Mytilus edulis: one gene and its partner. The protein of the gene in region 2 interacts with the protein of the main gene of each other region in a pairwise test. Links are inferred from orthologs where the notes say so. Each region holds a gene or a part of one and is shown on either strand. Other genes may lie near its edges.

The links.
Region 1: the proteins of pre-mRNA-splicing factor SLU7-like (region 2) and peptidyl-prolyl cis-trans isomerase-like 3 interact in binary tests that used the Homo sapiens proteins (3 or more experiments, as listed by UniProt). The link is inferred for Mytilus edulis from reciprocal best matches to the Homo sapiens genes SLU7 and PPIL3.

Annotation. Positions count from the first base shown.
Region 1 is NC_092345.1:497,540-505,281, forward strand, and holds the start of peptidyl-prolyl cis-trans isomerase-like 3, read right to left. Parts: upstream 3,549-7,742; 5' UTR 3,482-3,548; coding exon 3,479-3,481; intron 2,847-3,478; coding exon of another isoform or gene 2,745-2,846; intron 2,011-2,744; coding exon of another isoform or gene 1,719-2,010; intron 1,318-1,718; coding exon of another isoform or gene 1,229-1,317; exon of another isoform or gene 1,217-1,228; intron 1-1,216. Other genes in the region: uncharacterized protein, read left to right, coding at 1,229-1,317, 1,719-2,010, 2,745-2,846. UniProt on the Homo sapiens protein: PPIases accelerate the folding of proteins. It catalyzes the cis-trans isomerization of proline imidic peptide bonds in oligopeptides. May be involved in pre-mRNA splicing.
Region 2 is NC_092347.1:43,105,845-43,113,586, reverse strand, and holds the start of pre-mRNA-splicing factor SLU7-like, read right to left. Parts: upstream 4,179-7,742; 5' UTR 4,047-4,178; intron 1,528-4,046; 5' UTR 1,506-1,527; coding exon 1,342-1,505; intron 859-1,341; coding exon 708-858; intron 109-707; coding exon 28-108; intron 1-27. Other genes in the region: pleckstrin homology domain-containing family A member 1-like, read left to right, coding at 5,829-5,969, 7,515-7,574. UniProt on the Homo sapiens protein: Required for pre-mRNA splicing as component of the spliceosome. Participates in the second catalytic step of pre-mRNA splicing, when the free hydroxyl group of exon I attacks the 3'-splice site to generate spliced mRNA and the excised lariat intron.

The sequences.
Region 1 (7,742 bases), on a different chromosome or scaffold from region 2:
TTTCTATCTCTTTCATAAGAAGAGTGACTTTTCTATTGTTCTAGTGCCACTGGAAATCCCACTGATTGAACAAACTCAGACTACGATTAGTAGATTGTTTTTTTTTTACTTTAATAAAAAAAAACACTTTACATATTAAAATTATATACGAATTTATGAGATTATAATGAATATTTTTGAAAAAAAGACCATATATAGAAATGTATTAAATATTTGTTATATGAGTTGAATTTGATATGTTTAAATGAGGATAATTAACTTTTATTTGAAATATCATTGTGATTTATTGTGTGTATTGACAAAAGATATTTTAATGATTGGCGTGTGTTCGTGTTTTTATTGTGTTTAATCCTTGGTGTTTATGATTAGTATATAAACAAAGAGAAATTTGATTGACAGTGAATGGCTTCTTCACAATTTCACTTATCTGTAGTTCTTTTTTAATGGCTTCAGCAATTGAAAAGTAATTATATTCAAATGGTCACATCAAACGGATACAATGTTTTTAGAAAGGCAAGCCGAGGCCAACATTTATTATACATGTATCTAAAAATAGATTTGGAGTAAAATTGAAAAAACAACAGAGATTTCTTTGATCTTACCAAATACTTCTACAAAATAACATGAAAAAAAAATCCCTCATCATTTTCAAAATGGGTACCGACCACTGCGTCGAGTGTTCTAGAAAGGTTACAACAAAGCAACATGCCTTACAGTGTGATTCGTGTAGTTTATGGCAGCACAGAGTTTGTAATACTGGTAAGTGCTTCTACATGTATATATTATTCTGACTTGTTCATAATTGTTACTCATAAACATTTTACTTTCTATGGATAAAAAAGTCTTGCTTGATTGTTCTTTTACTTTAAGGAAATTAAAGTTGTATTCAGTAAGATACTTCTTCTTTGTAAAAATGTTGTATTAGCTTCCTATAAACAGAATTTTAATTATTTTTTATAATGCAAAACTTATCGTATTTGTACATGTGTGTATTATATATTACAATGACTATACTTGAAGTATTATAAAAATAATAGATGCTTATAAGATGCTTTCTCAATTTTATTATAAGGGTTTAATAAATATATGGATTTTTAAAAAAAAAATTTTTATGTATGGATTTTTTAAAATTTTTTAAAAAGAGGATTTGGTTGACATTATATATAATTTTTAGTTGTATAAGTGACTTCTGTTATTAAAATCATGTTATAACTTTTCAGGTATTACAATGAAGGAGTATCGTTCGATGATGAAAAGTGAAGAGACCTTAAATTTCATCTGTACCAAGTGCAATGATAAAGAAGAAGAAACAACCAGGTAGGCACTCTTTATGTATGATAAATCTTATTGTAATAGTGTGTTTATGTTGAAATTTTAAAGTTGATACATTTGTTTTATAACAAACTTGGTGTTACAATTATATATGTATATATAAAATTTCGAAACATGAAGATGTTATATGATTGCCAATGACCCCATATTCAACAAGAGTGGATACCCTTTTTTTTTCAAACATAAAATTTAATTAGTATATAGAAATCTCTATCAAAATGTTGTACGATTGCCAATGACCAAATATCCATCCAATCAGAGATCAATGATGCCGGGTGTTCAACTATATGTCACTGTATAAGTAATGTTGGTCTTCGTTTTAATGCATTAATGAACTTATATCTGCTAAAAATATAAAACTTTAATAACTTATTATCCTTTTTCAGTGGTCCAGTCAATTCTACAGTTATAACAGACGTCTCCGACCAACCAATACCAGACTACGGTACCCTCAACCTGTCTGTCATCTCAGCAGCAAACTCTACCAACAACCTCAACAGAACATTCACTATCAGCCGTGACCCTGACCAACCAACTGAGGCAGACACAACAGGTGCTGTAGACCAGCCAACTGAGGCAGACACAACAGGTGCTCTAGACCAACCAACTGAGGCAGACACAACAGGTGCTCTAGACCAACCAACTGAGGCAGACACAACAGGTGCTCCAGATACCGATGTAAATTTTCAATATATCAACTTCAAATATAAGTTTTTTTGTACTTTTCTTTTTATATATATATTTATATCTTGTTAACATATTTTTTTTTATCCCCTTCAAAAATGTTCAAAAATAAATTATATAATTAATTGTAGATAAAAATTCATTTTAAATTAAGAATTGAAAATTAATTTCAAATGACAGCAACAATCAACATTATACTTATAGTTATATTCTTATAGTAGTCCGAGTTTGGTATAGTCCGAGTTTGTTATAGTCCGATTTTGGGAGGCCGAGTTTGTTATAGTCCGATTTTGTTATAGGCCGAGATATCATGGATTCTTCAGATAGGTTTACAATAGATTGCAAGTTTTGTCACTTTAGCAGAAAACTGGTTATCCCAATTTTTAGTAAAGTGTATATATATGTTGATGCATATAATGCTAGAGATTATAGCCAATATAACTAGAAAATGCCATTCTGCCCTAATTTGCTTTAAATCCAGTGCAAACAAAAATACCCCTCTACAGAGGTATAATTTTATCCCTCTGAAGAAGGATTATCCCTCTATAGAGGTATAATCACCATACAGGGGGTTTGTTCCCAACCTGTTACATGTAACAGTATTCGTCTATACCAATTTTAAACAAGTTAAGTCATCTCACAGTCAGTAGAGAAATTTTGGGATTTTTATAGGCACACCCACTTCCAGATAAAGTAAGCCAGAATATCCCTTGTCCTTCTTTACATAGGTTGGTCCCCTCCGTAAAACATTCAGTATGCCTTCGGAATATACAAATATATTGTCAAGAATTTCAATAACGGCCGAGAAACAGACTCGAGTGGGGTGCTAATTTTCGCCACATCTTTCCATGTTTTCTACAGTTTATGTTCAGGTCTAAATGTTTTTGAAGTATACTGATATTTCTATATGAAGATAACTTCAAATGCAAATTATACTTAAGCTTGAAAACCGGTTTGTTTTAAGAAAATCATCTGAAAAGTTAGATTAAAGGGTGTTTGAAACTTCCGGATGTTTTGTCAATGGGGGACACATATTCGCCGTTTTTACACATCTATTTAAAACCAAATAACCGCAGCTTTTAACAATTTTTATCAAATCAATTGCATTATAGATGAATAGCAGACATTTCAAAGGTATAAAGAATTCAAATTTAGGGCATTCAGTCAAATATTTATTTAGAAATACTTCTTTGAAATCGTGTTTTTTATTCAGGAAAGTGTCCGAAAATCGTTGTCCGTTTTTCGGTCATTTTCGGTAGGAGCCGCAATTTTGTCTCAGTTTAAAAAAATATTATATTTGTTATAAAAATATAATTTACGGGTACATTTCTTCCATTTCAGCCATCCTTTGAAGTTTTTACACCTCAAAATCCTTAAACGGCGAAATTGTGTCCCCGGCGAAAATGAGCACCCCACTCTATAAGGTATGTTATAATTCATTGAAAGATCGAATAAAAGTTACCATATTAAATGTATAATTTCAATTTTGTTTGGAAGAATACAACCGGAAACAATGTGTTGTTTGTATAAAATAAACTATCCCGGATACGAACATGTGAAACATGCGGTCTCACTATTTATAGACAAGTGACAAGAAGCGACAAGTAGGGGTTGCACTAATGACAGGACGATTGCCCGGATAGTGACAGGACGGTTGACCGGACGAGATATACATAGTCATAGTTTTTTTGTTATTTGGTAGATTTTTTAAATATTTATAGACCTTTATTAAACTATATTTTATGAAAATTAAAAAAAAAAGGGAAAATAATTATTTTTGAGCCAAAAAAGTTGACCGGACGGTATTCACACTCGCCGATATACGCTATATATATATATTCAACTGGTCAACGACAAGTGTTAATATCTTTTTTGTTTTACAATATTTGTCCATGAAATTCAGGAACCTGTGAGATTTATAAATATATTATACGAACATATAAACTTGATAGCAAAAAATCGTGTTTTTTTTTGTTTTTTTTAAAGTTGACCGGACGGTATTCACCCTCACCGATATACGCTTTATATATTTTCAACTGGTGGACACAAGTGTTCATATATCTTTTGTTTTACAATATTTGTCTATGAAACTCAGGAATCTGTGAGATTGAAGAATATATTACACGAAAATATAAACTTTATAGTAAAAAAAAAAAATCTGCAAAAAAAGTTGACCGGACGGTATTCACATTCGACGATGTACGCACTGATTATATTGAACGGAAGTAGGACAAGTCGCCCCACTGGCAAGTCGCCCCACACCTAGTCGCCCCACTTTTTCACCAACTCGCACCACTTTAAAAAAAAAAAACCGCCCCAACCTGGATCACCAACTCGCCCAACTTTTTAGAAAATCGCCCCACATGTGAAATTGGTTACATCATGTTTAATATTACTCCTGCCAACTCGCCCCACTTAATGGAAAACGGTAATATTTAGATATAGAATTAAAATATAAAAACTCGCCCACTTAAAAATAATTTTCGTATTATTGAAGAATAACTGTATTTTTTTAAGATTAGTTATTTGCATAACAATTGAAAAGAAACCTGTTAATTGTATCATAATGCAATATATCATAATACTTAACGGATTTCAATTAACAGCAATTTGTTATCATAGCAATTACCAGATTGGTTACTTTTGTCTCTAAATTTAGAATAGATATTATCGTTTTCTATAAGTGGGGCGAGTTGGCAGGAGTAATGTTTACAGAATTTAAGTTATATACAACGGGATAACATCTTTTTCCATAAGTGGGACGAGTTGGCAGGAGTAATATTTACGGAATTTAACTTATATACAACGGTATAACATCTTTTTCCATAAGTGGGGCGAGTTGGCATTACTACATTCATCCTGGTTAATAATATAATATAAATCTAGATATTATCGTTTTCTTTCAAATGGGGCGAGTTGGCAGGAGTAATATTCACGGAATAACATCTTTTTCCATAAGTGGGGCGAGTTGGCATTAATACATTCATCCTGGTTAATAATATATTAATCTAGATATTATCGTTTTCTATAAGTGGGGCGAGTTGGCAGGAGTAATGTTGACGGAATTTAAGTTATATACAACGGGATAACATCTTTTTCCATGAGTGGGGCGAGTTGGCTTTACTACATTCATCCTGGTTAATAATATGTTAATCTAGATTTTATCGTTTTCCATTCAGTGGGGCGAGTTTTCAGGAGTAATATTAACGGGATTTAACACATTTCACAAGTGGGGCGATTTTTTAAAAAGTGGGGCGAGTTGGTAAAAAAGTGGGGCGACTAGGAGTGGGGCGACTTGCCAGTGGGGCGACTTGTCATGGATTCTATTGAACTGAGCGACAAAAAAAGTGACCGGACGGAACTAACATTCGCCGATATATATATGCCTTTATAATATTAAATTGATTGACACAAGTGTTAATATCTTTTTTTTTTACCATATCTGTCCCTGAAATTTATGAACATTGGAGATGAATAAATATATCATACGAAAAATTAAACTATATACATGTATTTAAATAAAAAAAAATAAAAATAAAAAAAAAATGACCGGACGGATTTTACATTCAACCGATATATGCTTTAATATATTGAACTGATCGACACAAGTATTAATATCTCTTCTTTTGTTATAATATTTTTAATAAGCCGTTTTGTTTTTGAAGTTGAAAGTACCTCCATTAAAGCAAAATTCAAGCAAATTTGCTATAGAGTAAATCCCACAATCATAACCATTTGGCTGTCGTTGGACTTCTGGGAGTTTAATTGAAATTTGCTTTTTGCCGTGACCATAAATAGCAGCAAGCTGAATGTCAAGGGATGGTGTAAGAGTAAAAGTCTTACTGAAGCTATCCAGAACATAGATCTATACACTGGTCGTCCACTGATTGCAATGAAGTTACCCAGTGGGATTTGCCAGTATGGTGTATTTGTACAGTTGGACATCCCTTTTGTGAAAAGCTAACAATTTTTTCTGACCAAGACTTGGTAGCATCGTCAAAGACAGGTGAAAGTCCTGTAGGCTGAAATCCAGATATGTTCGGAAATTGTCTTGAAATAATTGTGCAACAGACATTGATAATCTCTGAGCATAACCATTCATTATTTTATATAGTTTGCTTATGGTCTGAATTGAGACCAGGAATCCATGCAATCGGTATAGGCTTTAGTTTTACTTTCTTTACTGGAGGTAGACTATCAGTTACAAGTATCTGATGATCTTGACTATCACCATTGTCAGCAAAACCTCAATATCTTAGTATATTTTGGTGTTGACATAGCCTTCTGTTTTGATGGAGTATTTAACTTGGCTGGTGTTTTCAGCTTCGATGTACGAGATGTTTCAGGTTTAGTTAAAATATCTACTATTTCTGTTTGATGTAATACATCTGTATGCATATAGACAATAGACCCACTGTCCATTTTGATATTTTGTCTACTAGTAAGTTGTGCTAATATAGTGGCTATACAACTGTCTTTAAAAAGACATGCCTTTAAATAAAGCAATATATAGTAGTACTAATATCAATCTATTTACTTTTGTATTTATAAATATATGTTTGACAACTGTCAATATATCTATATTTCAATAATGAATATATATTGAAAATTGTCTTTAAAAAGACATGATTAAAGCAAAATATAGTAGAAATATAATTTGTGCGATCTGAACTGGTTGAAAGTCAGCTAGAGCATAAATGACTGAACAATTGAATAGTTATTACTAGGTGAGTTAAAAGTTAATCTGAAATCCTGAACTTCATCAAATTCCTTCTTTAATTGGATACTAATTACCAACTGATTATAAGGTAATTTGTATTTGATATCTCAGGTGTGAAAACTCACATAAACATTTTGGGCTCATTGTTTTTGGGCTCATTGTTTTTACTTTAAAGTTTATATTTCTTATGAAATATTTATTAATCTCACACAAATATGTTACAACAATACATTATAGATTCTAATTATACATGCACAGTAATATATATATATTGTTTTTCTTCTCAGAGAACGTAAGTTTAAGAAACTTTTATAAGTGAGGGTGCTATCTTTAAGTCAAATTCAATATACAGAGAATCACAATTTACCAAGGACGTACGAGCCGCGGTATAATTGTATTAATGGATATACCATGTACGGGAATATGTCAGACCCCTTCTACGATTATAAAACAAAGGCGCCGTAACCCTAAGTGAAATTCTCAATTATTCTTCCATTCTGGTGAAATTATTCCACACTAAACCATTACGTTTATTCCGCAACTGTCATTAACAAATCGATGATTGGGAATTTGCAATAAGTTTGGTCACGTGTCGAGTAGCACGCGCTGATTAAAAAGGCATTTTATTCAAAATTATAATATCTGTTGATGCCAAACATTATATTTGTGAGTTACATACTCATATCTTCTTATATTCATGTTCTTAATGGTCTAACGGTCTTAAAACATGTTGTGACTGATCTCGTTTATCAGCGTAGCATTACATAGCTAAAAGTAATTTAAAAGTTCAAAACATTACTGATAACGTCATTTCAAACTAATTAGAGGTAGCAGCAGATTACTGATATTCACATCACGTCTATCCATAAAAATGATATTAAATTGTCCTGTTGAAAAGACCTCATCATTTGAACAAAATACGTTAAATATCAGTTGCATGTAACCTAATATCTTACTACAGTATTTTATAGACACTTACACCCAGTTTGTAAATTTTAAATAGTCA
Region 2 (7,742 bases):
ACAGAAAAATGTATAATTATTACTTACTTCAAAACAATCTTTCTTTTGATGTGTCATAGAACCACAGTTCTGGCATGCTCCTTTTCTAAATTTTGTAGCTGTGGACCCCTATAATGTGTTATATAATAATTGAACTCAATCTGTAATGCTTTTCTTTATAAAATGACATAATTTTTAAAATTATTGAGTTCATGTTAGAGCAAAAGAATATAATCGCAAGATCTTTACATATTTCTAATTTTTACTTTTTAAAAAACTAGTTCAGCCATTCATTGTTTTGTTCAACTTTTAAAAACATGATACACACATCAATTTCAATGAGAGAAATTTAACAAAATTATCAAAACTGTAAAATTCATTTTATATTCTAACCTTTTAATGTGTATATATATGTTAAAGGAATATACAATTGCCTTGTTGTTCCAAAAGCATTCAATTCTTTGATTATTTTATGAAAACTAAATACTGTAGAAACATAATTTTTGCGAGGTTTTGTAATTTTGCGTACGATTTTATTTGAAGTAAACTTTGTAGATTCTAGAATGTGATTGTAAAATTCTACATGTTCTATGCTGGTTAAAATTTTGTTGAGGTTTTAATTTTGTGGATATTTTATGACATAAATGAAATATAAAACGCCCTAATGTTCTGCTTTAAGAGTGGAATTTTTTATACACATGTATCAGATGAACTAGTTTAGAAAATACCTGTTTAACTCCCCTTTTGTACCATGCTCCCACTTCAGATAACGGTTTCATTGTCTCTGGTTGAACTCTCTGATGCTTCAGTGTTGCTGCATCTACGCCATAATACCAAGGAGCTTGCATAATATACTGAGGAATATGAGGATTTATTTCTCTAAAAAAACAAATAAGTATTTCATTTATTATGTTATAAATTATATATACAATACTGGTTTATTGTAGGAAAACATGAATATTGATTACTAAAAGCTTTCGAAAGAGAGAGAAAAGTGAGGCTTGTCACTCCTGTTTCGAAGATAGTCCAAATAAGTTTTATTTTTCCTTCAAAGTATGTATATTGTTATTATCCTGCAATTTACACTGAAAAGTATAGTTTTATATTTCTTAACAGCTGAACTTTAAATCTGAATTTTCAATATATATTGGACAAAATGTTTTACAGCATCATTTGACAATGGAGAAAATGAATAAATATACTTAAGATTAAGAAATATTTTTTAAATCATCTAAAAGGAGGCTTCATTTTTGTCACTACTGGCATCACTGGAAACAACCTAAATCTACATAATATCTCTGATCAAAGCATCTTGATTTTTTTAAAGTATGAATCCTTGATATCAGCATAAATTAAACTTACTTTCCTTCTTCATCCACCATGGCTGGAGCTGTTCCTGCCTTTCTAGCTTCCTCCAGCTCTTTCTGTTTCCTCCATTCCTCTCTGGACACTTTCTTTGGAAAGTCATCTTCTGTTTTGGCCAACTTTGCCACCGCAGAGGGTGGCAAATTCAATTGAAACGACATACTGCAGAGATGTTTTGTTTATCTACAAGAGAACTAATGATTGTTAGATGTTTAAAAATGTAAAGTATACTACACATTTTTGATAGTAGTTATGTTTAACACTGACTGTCAAGAAGACTACATATTGTACATATTATCAAAAAATGATTGGTAGTCAAAAGGTTGTAACAATTAAGGACATTTAATTTTACACATGAAATTTAAAACAAGTATTTATCTGTGTGTTCTAAAATCTTATTTATAGGTCATGTACAATTGGCTCCCGGGTACAATAGTTTCAGCAAAAAATTAAACATTTGTTTTTTCATTACAAATTTTATTTATTACACTATTAGTTACTACTTTATGACATGGTACAAAATGCCATTTTTTGCCATCAAATTTGGAATATCTTTTTTAACTCTGACATCGGTGACCTATATCTTTTATTATTGTTTTCAAATCAGCTGTACATAAACTAAATAATTGTAAAATTTTAACAATTTCTGTAATTGAGTTCTTTTTTTTTCGATATTACCTCTAAATCTCCTTTTAGTTCAACAGAAAAAAAAGGACATTCACAAAAATGTATGCTTCCCTCGGAGGCAGATTGTGAGCTTAAATGATCGGTGACCTCATTTTTTTTATTTCATTTTTCTATTAAGTATATGATAAAGTTTATTTATAAAAAAATATAGTGAAATCCTATTTAAAAAAAAAAATGATTTATACCCCGAGCCACCTTAACAAATATCATTGGCACAGGGTACAAAATAAATCACCCAGGCTACTATTCACCATCAAACAAAATGTTGATAAACTGTAATTGGATTTACTTGATAATTGTGAAACGTTTAAAGGTTTTATGATAATTGTACTGGGACTAATGGCAGGTGTAAATTTTATAAACTATATAAAGGATTTGTAAAAACAATAAAAGCATTGTAAACTAAACAAGCTACATGTAAAGGCTTTAAATGCCAATGTTGCTCATCTGGATCTACATAGCTATATATAGGTGTCCGGCCCTCTGTCAGTAAAGTTTAAACACATACATTGACAGCGGGAAAGGAATATACTTAGAAAAAAAGTTTGTTCTGTTCTCAATTTTGATATTTTAATTGGACCTCTGTACTTGAATTTCTTGGTGTCAATATCAAGGACCTGAATAAATTCTACCTGCTCTATCTACTTCCATGAACTTTTGAATTATTCAGGGTGAAACAATCAATACAATCATCATAATTGAGGTATACAATAACTTTTTAAAACAATTAAAACCTTGATTTCAGCTTGGTTGGAACATTTATAGTAATAAAAAAAAATCAGAAAATAATTAAGCAAAAGAAAATACATCATTACATGTTGTTATGCCTTCAGGTCATATATGTAAAAGGACTATATCTGTGTGCATGTATGAAAAAATGGAACAGTTATAAATACAAATGTATTATCTATCATATAGTGCATGTACTTCTTCTTCTTGTTGTCTCCGTATAGGCATCCTTTATAAGGATCACCACCATGAGTTATGGCAGATAAATTGATTGATTGATTGTTGGTTGCTTAACATCCAGTGGCAAATATTTCATGCATATTCAGGACGAGAACAAGTTCACAATAAATACAATAGGTAGGTTGTTGTAATAGAGGCCATCTAGGATGATGGTCGGGGAAATTTGGACTGCCACTGGAAAATGAGGGTATATTGGATAGGGACAGAAATTTTGCCTTGCAACAGGCCACCTACGGACCCCTCAAAGAGTTGTTGCAAGGGTTCTTAACGTGCAAAGAGCATGGCACTCTCTTTACACGAGGCATCGAATTTAACGTCCCCTTCTGCGAACTTGATACATCCCGCACAGCCAAACGGACGCCCCACTTCAGCAAGCGTTTTACTGCCGGTTGGGAGAAGACCAAGTGACCATATTTCTATACCCCAGTCACCCATGGGGGTTTATGGCGGATAAAGGAAGCATTTGCAGCCTGTATCGGTACAGATTAATGTGAGCATTTGCCTACCCAATTCCCCAGCCAGGCCGTGACAGGTCTTATTACCAGAAAGTTAACCTTCCCTCTTCTTCTTCTTTAAGGTCAACAAGGCTTCAATACTGAAGAATACATGTTGTTGCGCATGCGTGATTGACAAAAATTTATACAAAATTTATAAAATTATTTTATAACAATTGGAGTGTTTGTATTTACAGATAATTTTTTTTGTGATTAAAAATATGTGTACATGTTTTGTTTGAATTTGTTTATTTGAAGCTAGAGAGAACATAATACAATATAACAAAATAAAACATACAAACTCACTCACTCACCTGATTCGCTCAGTCCTCAAAGTATAAAAAATGTATTTTTTCTATGTATCAAATATCCTTTTTTAAATATGTACATTTATAGCTTGCTTGATACATTTTTCAAATGCTTGAAATGCGGTACACATTCATTGATTTTATGTTTATTTCGACATTGAAAACAGGCAGTTACATCTGAAATATATGAAATCAATCAGTTTAACTGATGAGTGTATTATGTAAATATATATATATCCTTTACCTTTGTTAAATGGGTAAAATTTGTTTACATCTTCGCAAAAAACATTCGTGGAACGTTTTCGTCCCTTATGCTCATCACAAACACGCTTAGATCCATAGAAAAATGCGGTGTACCATGAGAAATGATCTTGTCAAAATAAAATAGAGCATATTTCTTAAAAATGTAATACTTTAATTAATAATTTTATACTTAAAATGTTTAGTAATTCATAGCTTTACCCAGAGCAATAAAAAATAGACATAATGAAGTGATTAATTCCAAAATAAACTTTTCGTATTTGGAGATTGTCCCTATATTTTATTTTACTTCCGTATCCTGAAACGGCAAGGAAAAAGGTAAACAGTCTTTTTCTGTGACAAAGACAGTAAGTTTCGTTTATAACATGCACATGACCCTTGTTGCATTCATTTGACATATATTCTGCAAGAAGCCCCTTTCTCAGTAGAGTTTTTCTAGGCCCACATCTTTAAATGTACTGTTTTAGTTATCATTGTTATCGTGCATGTATATGGACCTTATAAGGCATTTTTTGCTCTCTTTGGTGTACCACAGAACCACAATATTAAATTCAGTGTTTATATGCCATCTTCAAATATAATTTTGACAATAAATAGACAGATTTTGACAAATCATTTTTTTTTATTCTTTCAAAAAATGACAGTAACAGTGAAAAATTTGAGACCACTGATAAATCACGATAAGGATATATACTGATGAAGCAGGAAAATTTTAACTGATTTGATGCTAACAGTAGCTGTAGTTTGACACCTGACGGTTAAGGGCATTCCTAATCTCAAAGATTGGAAACACTTCTAGGAAGTCACCTTAGATAACGTCTTTATTAAGCGATGTTGAATATGTTTTAAATTTGTCAAGTTGTAGTGGTGTTGTTGTTCTAAATATAGAAACCAATAAACACGCCACAATATATGTATAGGCAGTCGAAACCGAAACGAAATGTGGTTGATACGAAAACATATGACACGACGATAACATAACTAGCATCCAGAGAAAAGATATTAGTTATAGTATGTGCTTTCTGGTTGATCCCGCCCCAAGTCAACCCGTCCCAAGTCGTTACTGTTGGATTGACATGGGGCAGATTGACTTTGGGCTGGATCAACTTGGAGTCACTTGACTTTATGATGTGGTATGAGTGCCAATGAGACAACTCTCCATCCAAGTAACAATTTATAAAAGTAAAACAAAGCCTGTTGCATTAAATGGTTATGGCAAGTATAGTACAAATGAAATAACAAACTGACAATAATTGAATAAGAGTGACAGTGGCATTTTAACATGAAAAAGAAGACTACACATACATGACATACATTGTATATATGTATGTATTGACAGATAAGCAATTATTAATGTCCATGAATTATATTTAAAGGATACATTTAAAAAAATTTATACACATTATCTCAATAAAAGACCATCATTAATAATTTAATATTTTTATTTAAAGTCGTACGTTCATCAATATTTGTGGATTGAAGAAAATATGTACATTGTTTTTTTGTAATTTGTCTGTGTAAAAGCTTAAGGTAAATTTTAGTGTACACTATGATTTTTTTTCCCCGCCTTTACCCACTTTATCCAGTGAAATAGGATGTCCTGAAAATGATGAATTAAAAAATGTATTCACAGTTAATTGATTTGGTAATTTAATAGAAGAGGGCTGCCCATAGTGAGTAGATGAAAAATAAAAATTTACATTAATATGATTAACTTTACCAAAGTTTTTAAACATTACTTTCAGACACTATAAGATGAAGAACAATGCCTTACAAAGATAAGAACGGAAAATTTTGTGGTTTCTTAAATGCAGAGGAAAAAGAGGGAAGTGGAAAATTTCTACGTAGATATTTTTTGTTAGATGAGAAGAAAAGTCGACTGTATTATTATAAAGACAATCCTGGAGTAAGTGACATACTTTCTAAATTTCATGTTTTATATGTTTACTTCATTATACAGTGAATGTGAAACTTGACTAAACTGAATCCTGTATAAACCGAAAACCTGTATAAACCAAACATGTCCGTAAGCACCCTCATATCAAATTATGTGTGTTGTTAAAACCAAACATCAGCCAAAACTGCACAAAAGGAGTAGGTCACGTAAGACCCCTTTTTGGCCCCCAAAATATAGCAGATTTACAAAATTGTTAAAATGTAAACTTCCAGTTATTTATTGGACAGTAGAATGCTTCTGCTACATAAATATGGGCTGTTTTTGACAATACAATGCACATATATCAGGTAATAGCACCATTAAGTCGTGCTAAATTACTGAAATCTTCACAATTCTAGCAGTTTAGTTAAATTTTAGACAGTTTTCGTGTAAATGAAAGTGGCCACATTAGTGTTCATCTGTAATATTGAAATGTAAGTTGTATTTTATGATAATACATAACATATATAAAGGTTGAGGATGAACACGGATGCGGCCACTTTCATATTTGACAAAAACAATCTGAAAAGTGACATTTGTCAGCATATTTGGTAGATTTTTCATATTTGAGCTTAAATCGGATCATTTTTAATGACAGAATCAGTTAAAATCGTTCACATAAACTAATTGATTCAAAAGAAATAGACACTTTAAGTGTTAAAAAAGTGGTCAAAATCTTTTGTCAGATGAACCTGAAATTTGGGGCCAAAATCGGTCCTTACCGGACCTACATTGTTGTACTCCTTTTAAAAAGTCCAGAAGAGGCTCGGTTTAAACAGGTTTCACTGTACTTGGTTAATATGATGGTAAAGTTTTAATGTACAGAATTAGATGTGTCCTGTCATGTCTTAATTTAGGACTGACAAAACTACATGTAGATATAGTTTTAAAAGGTTGGAAGCAAACTTAAACTCATATTATTAACTCTATATAGTTATATGAGTTATGATTGCAATTGACTAGCACAAGCACGAAATTCTTTGAGCAAAGGTAAAATAAATAGTTAAGTGAAGTACATTATGTCTTAAGACATTTTTTCTTCTGATCTTCGAAAAAGTAAAAAATGCTTATGCTATTTTTCATTTGCCTCAAATTACATTTTGAAGAATGTATTCAATACATGCTATACATGCTATAATACAATTTCATACTTAAACAAGTATAGAGTAATGGTATAATGACACAAGAGGTTTCTAAACAGTAAACACAGTAGATCTATTTGAAACTATTAGTAGTGGAAGCCCATGGAAGTAATATTTACTTCCATGGGAAGCCATATTAAATATGTGTATCAGCGGGAAAAAATTATGACAAATAAGAAATATAGTACATTATACAAACAAACCCAATGTATATACCATTCACAGCACCTGGTTATGATTCTTAGCATGACTGGTTTCAGGTACAATTTCATATTTAATTTGACTCCTAAACCAGTTTACTCATGCAGGGTTCACTATATCACAAGTATTGCAATTTCTACTATCATGATATATTGTTATATTCCTGTTTCAGAATTTACATGCTGACTACAGTAAAACTTGTGGAGAGATAGAAATTCACTTTATTTCAAGGGTATGCCACTTAGAATTAGTATTTGATATTTCTATGTTGATGATACATTTGTACATGTGTATACATTATTATGCAATTAGTACTTGGTACTTGGATATTTCTCCTATAAATTTCATTTAGAAGTACTTTTTTTCCAAAGAAATTATTGAACAGCCATTTTATGCAACT